Caenorhabditis elegans: one gene and its partners. The protein of the gene in region 1 purifies or fractionates together with the protein of each later gene. This does not show direct contact. Each region holds a gene or a part of one and is shown in the gene's direction. Other genes may lie near its edges.

Region 1 (3,754 bases):
ATTTACAATTTAGACCCGAAAGATTTTAAAGATCTTCTCACCTGGGATTGAAAGGTCGAATAACGAAGCCCAAGACAACACCGAGCACGACAGATTCGATGGTAAGCACAAGAAGAAGATCCTTCTTCATGCCCATCTTGTCTGTGTTGTTCTTGACAACTCGACTGCCGACTCGCTTCGTTCAACTAACGAGAAGAGAGGGATTATGCAAACTATTCTAGTGCCGTCTGAAATTTGCATTCGGCTGACGCAGTTGACATTGAAATGTGGAAAATAAAATTGTCGAAAAACTACAATATTTTATTCTTCAACCGGGTGCTAATAAATACAATTTAAAGCTGACTTATATGTGTACCCATAGATTGATAACCAGTAAAATTAAACAACGATTCGAAAGCTAATCCTGTTTTTTGTTTGAATAACGACGTTTGGAGATCCAGTAGAGAATTGCTGGGATTGCAGTCAATGGAAAAGCGATGGCTCCGAATCCGAGGAAGTGTGTGCAATTGACTCCTTCCACTTTTCTCATGGCAGTTTCGGCGAAGAAATGAGCTTAAGTTTAAAATTTTGAATTAGTTCCGTTGTTTTCAAAACATACTGTATCCTCTCTTATCATACGAGACTGTAGAGGTTCGCGCACGTTTGCCAGTCTCGGAATCAGTATAGTTCACGGTAACATCGTGATCTTCGATGGCTTGAGGAACACGAGGAATGACAACAATGTGATGGTAGATGGTGGAATTCGCAGGAATGACGGGAAAACTTGCTGTTGCAGATCCTTTCAAAATCTCGAATCGGTCAGTTGGGAAAGATTTGAGATCAGACAGCTCGACCTGAAATAATCGACAATTTCTAACCAAAATTCGCGTTATCCGAAAGAAAGAAACTAATTTTTAAAGAAAATCTTTGCGACTTTTTGAAACATACCTTGAGAGCTGGAGAAAGGCCAATGTTGATAATCTGATATTCAAATGCGTTTTCTCTTTGTGCAACCGGATACTTGGTCACGAAGGATTTGCCGATAAGAATTTTCTGTAATTATACGATTTTAGCCAGATTTATAAATTTTATTTGATAAAGTTACCGCAGAAGCATCAGCAGCTGCAAGAGCAGAGAGAATCAGGAAAACCAGTTGCATGCTAGGCGCTTCACTGACAATAATGATTTGATAAATCTGTAGGAAGTTCTCTCAATAAACGCCTTGTTGGCAAATTAAGCTGGAAATACGTGGAAAACCGAGAAGAAACAAAAGACTGTACTACAAACGGAGGATGCAGAGAAAAGTGTATTTGAACTGCCTCGCAAAATGGCAATCGTGCCGAGACCCATCACTAAATTCAAACGAGCGTGCCTGCGAATCAAACTGGCCCGTTGCCAAAAAACGCCTCTTTCGAATTTCGCGCGTTCGGATTTACGTTCGTTTTCAGTTTTCCGGTTCAATTTATCCGTTTTACAACTAGTTTCCTCCAAAATAGTTAAACTTGATATCATGAAGCAAGCAGCGGTTAAATTATTTTTTCGTCATCTTTTACATAAACCGTTTTTAAAATTATAAACAAAAATAAACATTTTCAGGTAATTATTAAATGCAGATAACCTCGGCCTTAACCCAGAATAAGATGGATCCGATCAATGGTAATTTGACTTCCACCGCTCCGGTCGAGCCACTCTCATTGACAGCCGCTGAACGTGAGTCATGTCGCACTTAATAAGTGCTTACACACCTTTTCTTTCAATTCTTTCAATCCCGAATATTGCATTAAATTGATTTTATTTCAGAAGTCGGTGGAGCGTTCTGCCATCAGTTCTATATCACCGTCTCTGAGAACCGTAAAGCGATTACCAAGTTCTATGGACATGAATCGAAGTTCTATTTGGATGATCAGGTGGTCACTGGATCGCAGGTTGGCAACAAATATAAATTGACAAAAATACATTTCGTTAATATATTTTTAGGAGATTGTTAAGTTGTACAATCATCTACCAGAAACCACCCACTTCAAGATTCAATCTATCAAGGTAAACACGACGTTCTTCGATTTTCCTACAAATATATTTTTAAGGGATACCCAACCCCACACAAACAGGGAGTGATTATCAATGTTATCGGAACCGTTAACCTCCGTCCATTCCTTCAATCATTTTTGCTTGGGCAACAAGGGCAGAAAAAATACTATGTCGAATCAGACGCTTTTCAGTACATTGATAAGTTTTTCGTCGCGAATACGGAAAAGGAGAAGACTACTTCGTCGACTGGTCATAACGGACACGCCAGTGGAGCAAATGGAAAGGATTCCAAATCTTCCAAAACCGAGCAACCTAAGGAACAATCAAAGCCGGCTCCTCCAAAGCAGCAAACGCCAAAGAAAGCTGAAGATCGTATAGTGAAGCAAGACACTCCGAAATCTGTGGAAAAGGAGGTAGCGAAAACACCGCAGAAACCACAGCTTGCCCAACAGCCCCCACAGCAGAGAGCCCCAGTTCCTGAGCCTGTTCAAGAACAGCCAAAGGTTCAGAAAACGTGGGCTAATCTTGTGGGTGGAGGTGGAAAGTCTCAGCCCCCACAACAACAAAGTTATGGACAAGGACAGCGTGAGTTGAAAAAACGAAAGATGATCGGGCTAGTCTCAGATTATTTATTTTTCAGAAATCCATCAGCAAACACAAATGCACCACATGCAGCCTTCCATGCATCAGCAACAACAAGGATCGCATGCTCCTCTTTATCAGCAACAGAGACAGTCGCACCCAGCTAATGAATTGCGCCAAGCTCAGGAAAGTTCAGATGCCAACCTAAATGAGCGTAAGATCTATTTGGGAGGAATCACTCGAGAGATTGTCCCCAGCAACACAGCTCAGGCTGAATCGGAAATCAAGCAGGTGTTCTACAGTAAGCAAATTAATAGTCCCAATAGTTCACTAAATTTTCATTTTAAGAATATGGAGAAATCGAGGAGGTTCGCATGCCGCGCAAGGTTCTTGACAGTCCGAACGACACATCGAAACATGCCTTTGCATTTATTACCATGCGTAACAAGGCCGGAGTAAAAGCCATTTTCGAAGCGGCTACAAAGGATGAGCAAGGCGTGTGGAAGCTTCCACTCAAACTGGATGCATTCGGATTTGACGGACATGCTCAAATTAGTGAGCAACGTGATCAACCACAAGGCGGCGGATTCCGAGGAGGACGTGGAGGTTTCCAACCACGCGGTGGACAATTCTTCCGCCGTGGCGGTTCGGGTGGTGCTCCACGAGGTGGTATGCGCAGCGGTTTCCAAAATGCGGGACAAAATTAGAAGCTTTCCGTTCTCCTTTTTCCTTCTTGTAAGAATTGCACATCCATTAGATTCTGTACCTATCCTTCTCATTTTCCTATTTATTGTTTCTCCTTTCCTTCCTCACCGTTCTAATAATGATGATTTAAGTAAGAAGATTCTGGTATCTGAATTTTATGGCGTGTAGCGTTTTAGTAGATCTCTCAACAATCCAATCCAATCAGCCCGCATCCCATTTTCACATCCTATCTCCCCGGTTTTCGGTGATTGACGACCGTGATCCCATCTGAGTTTACTCTTTTCGAGTACAAGTTGCAATCAGACATCATCCCACCACCGAATATCCAAGTTGTATTTGAATGTTGTTTTAATATATTACCACTTTCCTTCTCCTTTTACAAGCCCCCGTTATTGTTTCCTTCATTGGTGTTCGGGAGTACTCTTTGTACTCAAGTTCTTACCCCCATTTTGGCACGTTG
Region 2 (3,754 bases), on another chromosome or scaffold:
TTTTTTTGCCCAAAAATATGTGACGTCAGCACGTTCCTAACCATACGAAATCAGTTGAGAACTCTGCGTCTCAATTCCTGCATTTTGATTTTTTTTTTCCATTTCTTTACCGATTCACGTGGTGTCAAAGTGCCTTCTTTCGGCATGATCTACATAGATCTACAAAAAATGCGGGAGAAGAGACGCAGAGTTCTCAACTGATTTCGCATGGTTAACAACGTGATGACGTCACATTTTTTTTGGCAAAAAATTCCCGCATTTTTTGTAGATCAAACCGTAATGGGACAGCCTGGCACCACTTGAACCCAGCTTTTTTCGATTTTTTTTTGAATTTTAATTATTTAATAGGGGAAAGTCAAAAAAATCGATTTCATATTGTTTCCGCAAGTCGAAATTTGATTTATGTGTATCTGCCCCAAACTTGTCGCTCATTTCCATGGTGATTCTCGCGCCAGCTTCACACTTTTTCAGATTTTCCATTGAAAATGTCATCCGTCACTTGTTTTTCCAACCCATTTCGCTCCTCTCCATAGTCGTTACTTTTTACTTTATATAGCCTCTCTCTCTCAACTTGACAGCGCACACGCTACTCCACAAACATGACATATTTAGTTTCTGCTCCAGCTCTTTTTTCTCCTCCGTTTTCCCCCCGTCCCGGGTGTTATCGATTTTTCGCCGCGCCGCCCTCTTTTTTTTGGGGAAGGCCATTTTTAATACTATTTTCCATCTTTTTTCCGTCTTCCTTCTTCCAAAAACGTTAAAAGAAAGGAAAAAAAAACGAATATTTCTTCCTCTTTTTCTTCCAAGAAAGGCTCGAACCCTGCTGTTAATCGAGAAGAGAGTATACGAAGTCACCGAGAGGAATGCTTGCGCATTTCGCGTGCCTAGTGAGTCGGCAAGTGAGACAGAAACACAGAAAGCATTCGATTTTCTCCTCGTTGCTGCGCTTATTGCTTCATCTATTTCGTCTGTCTTTTTTTTTTCTTTTTTCCGCTTTGTTTTTATGTTTTTTGCGGGTGTATGGACCTTAACACGTCATTTTTTGCAGTTTTTGCACTGAAAATTGGTCGGAAAATCGTTAAAACCTTCTGAAAACTCATTTTAAATTCAATAAAATTAAATATTCATCACACTTTTGTAGATCGTCGCGAGACCCGAGCCAATTCAAAGACCATGCACCTTTAAAAACCATTTCAAGATTTTTCGTGTATTATGCTCGCTTTTCTCTCGGAATTCCAATCGGAAATTAAAAATAATCTTAATTTTCACTTCGAAATCAAGTTTTCAATATTAAATCGTTAGAATTTCATTTAAAACCACCTAGAAATAGCTTAAATTTGTTTAAAAGTTTAAAAACTTGAAAATTAATTACAATTTCTGTAGATCGCTGCGAGACCCGAGTCTCTTCAAACTATATGCGCCTTCGATTACTGCCCTTCTCAAATTCGTTTTTTTCGCTTTTCCCACGGAAAATTGAGTGATTTTTCCATTTTTCCCTCAAGAAATTTCAAAATGAGAAAAATTTCGCAACACCTCTCTCTCTCTCTCTATTCATGATGACTAATAATTCTACGATTTCGCATTGTTTGGGAGAATTTTGTATTTTTCATGAGAGACGCCGTTAAAATTTCCAATTCCGATTTAATATTGTCATTTTCTATTTAAAAACGTTAGAAAATATATTAAATATTGGTAAAATCAACTTAATTTTACTAAAAAACTTTAAAAAATTCAAAAATTTATCAAACTTTTGTAGTTCGCTGCGAGACCCATCGGCAATTGGAACTCCGTGCGCCTTTAACTTTTCGATCAATTTTTTATTTTTAAATCCAAAAATTTTCAATTTCCCGCTAAAAATCGTTAAAATCTTTGTGAATTTCCTTCAAATTACGAAATTTCGCAATAATTTTCTTCTTTTTCTCGAATACCTTCCAAAATGCAAAAATAAAATCGATTTTCGCATGCTCTCCACCCATTAATCTTCCGTAAAGCTGTTTCCATGGCAACTAGCATAAAAAATTTAGTTTTCAGGTGGTTTCCTCCTCATTCGACACTCGCAAGAATGATTATCAAGGAGTAGTAAGTGATTTTTTTATTTTTAACGAAAATTTTGATTTTTCCTGGAAAAAATCGGTTTTTTTCCAGATTTTCCAACAAAAAAAAATCGGATTTCTCCATTCTTTTCCCAAAAAAATCGGATTTTTTCAAGATTTTTCCCGGAAGAATCGGATTTTTTCCAGATTTTTTCAAAAAAATCGTATTTTTCCAGATTTTTCCATTAAAATCGGATTTGTTCCAGATTTTTCCATTAAAATCGGATTTGTTCCAGATTTTTCCATTAAAATCGGATTTGTTCCAGATTTTTTCCATTCTTTTCCCAAAACAATCGGATTTTTTCCAGATTTTTTCAAAAAAAAAATCGTATTTTTCCAGATTTTCCCAAAAAAATTGGATTTTTTCCAGATTTTCAAAAAAAAAAATTTTTTTTCAGCCGAGTTGTGCTTCCAATGTCCGTCGAAGAGTACCAAGTAGGCCAGCTCTGGTCTGTGGCCGAGGCCTCAAAAGCCGAAACGGGTGGCGGTGAAGGTGTGGAAGTGCTCAAAAATGAGCCATTTGACAATGTTCCACTGCTCAATGGACAATTCACGAAAGGACAATATACTCATAAGATTTATCATCTTCAATCGTAGGATTTTCTTCTTTAATTCTGCGAAAAAAATTGGAAAAAAAATCAATTTTTTCAGGAAAGTCCCGGCAATTTTGCGAAAAATCGCGCCAAAAGGTTCTCTGGCTATCCACGAAGAAGCATGGAATGCCTATCCGTACTGTAAGACGGTTGTCACGAATCCAGACTATATGAAAGAGAATTTCTATGTGAAAATTGAGACAATCCACTTGCCGGACAACGGAACGACCGAAAATGCGCACGGTTTGAAGGGCGATGAGCTGGCGAAACGAGAAGTTGTCAATATTAATATTGCAAATGATCACGAGTATTTGAATTCCGGAGATTTGCATCCAGACTCCACTCCATCCAAATTTCAGAGCACAAAAACCGGGCGGTACGGGAAAAACCTTGAGATTTTTCAGTTTTTAAATTAAAAAAATCTGAAATTTCAGCGGTCCTTTATCTGGAAATTGGAAGGATAGTGTACAGCCTGTAATGTGTGCCTACAAGCTTGTTACAGTCTATTTCAAGTGGTTTGGATTCCAGAAAATTGTCGAAAACTACGCGCATACGGTGAGATTACGAGAGGATTTCGTGGATCGACAAAATGGGCGAAAATGCTCAAAAAACGAGCTTTTTTTTGTTTGAAATTTGTAGAATAACCCTATGTCGATTTACGCAGATCGTGTACTCCCCGAGGAGAAGAATTTCAAAGTTTAAAACTGAAATTTTCGATTTTCGTGGTTTTTTCATACTCAAATTGACAATTTATAGGGTTCTTAGGTGAAAATCAACAATTTTCACTTAAAATCTGATAAATGTAAATAAAATTAAATAAATAAAATCTGATAAATAAAGTTTTCACCTAAAAACCTAACAAACTGCCAATTTGAATGTGAAAAAACCGCGAAAATTGCCAAAAAGTCAAAAGGAAAACCTAGAAAACCTCTAATTTAAGTGGAAGAGGTTTTACACAGCCATTCTTCAATTTTCGAGCAAAATTTCGAACAATTCCGGAAAAAAACTGAAAACCGAGCTGAAAAAATGGAAAAATTTCGCATAAATGCTCGTGGAAATTTTCAAAAA
Region 3 (3,754 bases), on another chromosome or scaffold:
TGGCGCTTCAAGCTACAGTGTCGGGAAGAAATTGGTAGCTGAAATGATTTCCCTCAGAATGACACCCGATATTTTCACGTTCAATGCATTACTGTCGTCTGCTGCAAAAGCTGGAAAGTTTGAAGATCGTGTGAAGGCGTTCACTGAAATTATTGGAGAAATGAAAGAGATTGGAGTTGAACCAGCACTGTCATCTTTTCATTTAATTATCAAAAACATCATAGATTTTAAATTATTGGATAATGAAAAACGAGAGAGTGACGAGCAAAAGAAGACCTATAATCACCAGCTCACCGTGGCTATATCTTGGCTCAATGAAATTCAGAATAGCCTTACTGGAAAAACTCTCAAGCCGATTACATCCACTTGTAATCTTTTCTTCGTCGAAGCAATGGGAATCCATTACAGAGCTGCAAATGAGAACCTCGCAGAAAATCTTGTTTCAATTTATGAATCCAAAGCAAACGAAGTAAAGATGCCAGCATTCACAATTGAATCAATGTTCTATAATAGACAATTACAATTGGCTGTGGAACAAAGTGCTTCACTGAACAGAATTTATGATTTGTACACCACCATGGTACCACGACTTGTTGGAGTCAACAATTATCTGTCATCACTAGTTTTTCGAAAACTCGCTGCATCCTCCGATCGTCATTGGCCACTGTTACGGAGAGTAATCATCGACGGTATTGCAGCTGGACAGATGAATGGAGTTATTGGAGAAGAAATGCGCAAACAGTTGTGTAATGTACAACTACATGTAAGTTTTATTTCCAAATATCTTGTGTTTTTTACAAGTTTTTTTCAGACATTGGGAACTAGTGAACGGGAGCAATTCACATCTCTTGTCCAAAAATTGGTTGCAGTTTGGGTTGAGTTCAGCCAATTCACAGAAGAGAGAATGAGAAGGCTCCAAAGGAAACTGTCGCCTAGCCAGGTTTTAATATTATTTTTCAAACCATAAGTCGTATATTTCTCAAATTTTGCAGATCTCAGAATGTGCTTTGCTCTTGACCAGAATCGGAGAACAGCAGAAAGCTTACGAACTGTTAGATCTACTGCTTGATGAAACTGCAAGCAGTGGGGACGAAGCGACTGTTTATCCACGTGGACATGCTAGGCCATGGGCAATGGCAGAATTGTTCGAAGATGCTCTTAGAAAACGTGATACATATGCTGCAGCGACTTGCCTGCAAATTATGTCGTTGACCGCCAACCGTGCAAAACTTGAGCCTCTCGCCAATCGCATTTTCGAGAAATGTAATGTGAATCAAGAGCAAGTTCGAATTATTCAAGGATTCATTCGTCTTCGCCCACAATAATTTTATTTCGTTTAGCCTAGGATAGTTGTAAAGTTATTTTGTTTTTGTTTTGTTTTGCTTTCAAAATGTCTCCCATAATAAAACTTATTTAAAAATTTGTTCAACATGTTTTTTTTTCAAAGGTCGTTCAATTTGAAATTAAAGGCGCATCGAGTTTTCATCTGAGTGGGTCTCGCAACGCTGTCTAAGGTATACGGTAGCTATTCGCACTACTTCAAAAAATGTTACCTACTGTCCCAAAATATTCATTTCCGTGCACGATTTTTCAGTATTTCTTGTTGAAATCTTCATATTTTTCAAGTATCTAACAAAAACGTGTTTCAATAGTTCTTTTTTCAAGTTATAAGTTATAAGATTTAGAGAATGCATGTATCCCGAAAAGTTGCATAAACTTATTCAATTTTTTTCCAACACGTTATTCGTAAATTTTAAGATATTGTTCATAATGCAATCGTTCTCCGATTTCAGGTAGTATTCACTAACAACATTCACAATGCCTGCTACACCGGTTCCACCGGTAACAATGCCACCAGTGCCACCAGTTGGTTTTCCACCGGTCACCGCTCCGCCAGGACTTCATCCACCACCACCAGTCCCACCGGTTCCGGTTCCGACTCTTCCTGTCACCTCGGAACACAAAACTGCTCACGATGCGTGTATTAAGCGACTCGAACAGCTTGAGGTGAGATCGGTTCTCGTTATTGCTTAGAATAAATATGATATTTTAGATTCCGCCGGATCCGAAGATCTATCCTTCTCCAACCGAACCTGGAACTTTCGGTAGCGTGACTGAAGTCCTGACAAATGTGTTTGGAGTCGAAGTACATAAAACTTCCAACTTTTATCAATACAGTGTGCACATCACTGCTGAACTTTCATCGAAGAAAGAAGTAACTTTCACTAAAAAAGGAAAAGAAGAGTAAGATATTGATGATCGAATTCAAATTTCCTATGCATTCAATTTCAGCTTCATTGTTCATGACCGCCATGAGAAGTGCAGTGCTATTCTGTTCCACGCATTGAACCGCTTTGAGGACTTTTTCAAGTCGTCTGAGAACTGCATCATCTACGATGGACAGAGCATTCTCTTCACCAGCATGAATCTTTTTGAAGGAATTCCAACTGGAAAAATTAAGGTATCGAGATTTTATTTGTACTTTCGATGCATTCCTAATTTCAGACAAAAGTGTTTCAAATTAACGGTGCGGACACCAACTTGAAAGACCTAATGGTGCTGCCGTGTATCAAACTGGAAGTTTTTCCTACCAAGAACCCAGTCGTGAATTTCTCCCTGGAAGATATTGGAAGACGTACATCGGATTCTAACATCGAGTCTGTCAATATGGCTTATAAGCAGATTCTCGATCTCGCTATGAGTCAGTACGCAATTCGCGAAACCTCCAAATGTGTAGTGTTCGAGCACGGAAAGATGTTTTTCATTAATCCATTGCAAGAAGGGTACGCTCCATGCGACATTGTGGAAGTTGGAGATGGGAAACAAATGAAACCGGGTCTCAAGAAAACCCTCCAATTCATTGAGGGTCCATACGGACGTAACCAGAATAACCCATCGATTGTCATTGACGGTTAGTTTTTAGCTCAAAATAGACAAGTATATTTCAATCTTCAGGAATGAAGGTGGCATTCCATATGGAGCAACTCGTTTTCCAAAAATTGTCATCGATCACATCCAATCTGGCTAACGGAATCACTGGATCCGAAAGAGAACGATGTGCAGCTGTCATCAAAGGACTTGACTGTCATTCAAACTATAGAGGACGCACACGTCATCACAAAATTGAAAGCATTCATCACGAAGGAGCCGCAACTGCCAGATTCGAGCTCGAAGGTGGTGGTACTTGTACCGTTGCCACCTACTTCAAGGATAAATATAAGATTCAACTTCGCTATCCGAACGCCAATCTCATCGTTTGTAAGGAAAGAGGAGCTCTCAACTTCTATCCCATGGAGTTGATTACTATCAGTCCAAATCAACGTGTTAGAATCACTCAGCAAACAAGTTCTCAAAGTCAACGAACCACAAAAGAAAGTGCAGTGTTGCCAGACATTCGCCAACGTTTGATCATGACGGGAAAGATTGCAGCGAAGATCACAGCTGAAAACGAGGTGCTCGGTAAAATGGGAGTGACTGTTTGCGATGAGCCTCTTGTGGTGAAAGGGCGAAACCTCCCGGCCATTAGGTTGGCTTCATTTGAAACGGGTGAACATCTCATCAATCCAAGAGATTGCAAATGGCGCCCACAACGCTACAACCGTTCAGCTGTGGCTCCGAAAGTATGGGCGTTGTACGGCGTGGGGTCGCCGGGATCACAAATGAATCGCGACGTTATGAGGTTAGTCTTACTCTACTTAAAATTGATTGGTTTTTTCTGATTTTTCAGACGTTTTTGTGACGAGTTCATGAATAT

Evidence for each region.
Region 2: the proteins of gtbp-1 (region 1) and Y54F10AR.1 fractionate together in Caenorhabditis elegans (co-fractionation; one large-scale study listed by BioGRID). This does not show direct contact.
Region 3: the proteins of gtbp-1 (region 1) and ppw-2 fractionate together in Caenorhabditis elegans (co-fractionation; one large-scale study listed by BioGRID). This does not show direct contact.

What each region holds. Positions count from the first base shown.
Region 1 is NC_003282.8:10,126,778-10,130,531, reverse strand, and holds the start of gtbp-1 (Ras GTPase-activating protein-binding protein gtbp-1), read left to right. Parts: upstream 1-1,575; 5' UTR 1,576-1,586; coding exon 1,587-1,689; intron 1,690-1,779; coding exon 1,780-1,904; intron 1,905-1,956; coding exon 1,957-2,019; intron 2,020-2,063; coding exon 2,064-2,592; intron 2,593-2,647; coding exon 2,648-2,890; intron 2,891-2,937; coding exon 2,938-3,296; 3' UTR 3,297-3,754. Other genes in the region: Putative sodium-dependent excitatory amino acid transporter glt-3, read right to left, coding at 42-136; K08F4.3 (Translocon-associated protein subunit beta), read right to left, coding at 398-552, 599-833, 928-1,032, 1,085-1,138.
Region 2 is NC_003281.10:2,573,994-2,577,747, reverse strand, and holds the start of Y54F10AR.1 (Phosphatidylinositol transfer protein N-terminal domain-containing protein), read left to right. Parts: upstream 1-2,062; coding exon 2,063-2,079; intron 2,080-2,491; coding exon 2,492-2,686; intron 2,687-2,744; coding exon 2,745-3,062; intron 3,063-3,120; coding exon 3,121-3,241; intron 3,242-3,754.
Region 3 is NC_003279.8:5,160,269-5,164,022, reverse strand, and holds the start of ppw-2 (Piwi domain-containing protein), read left to right. Parts: upstream 1-1,790; 5' UTR 1,791-1,818; coding exon 1,819-2,007; intron 2,008-2,053; coding exon 2,054-2,244; intron 2,245-2,292; coding exon 2,293-2,461; intron 2,462-2,505; coding exon 2,506-2,911; intron 2,912-2,955; coding exon 2,956-3,679; intron 3,680-3,727; coding exon 3,728-3,754. Other genes in the region: let-630 (Small ribosomal subunit protein mS39), read left to right, coding at 1-763, 812-940, 993-1,325.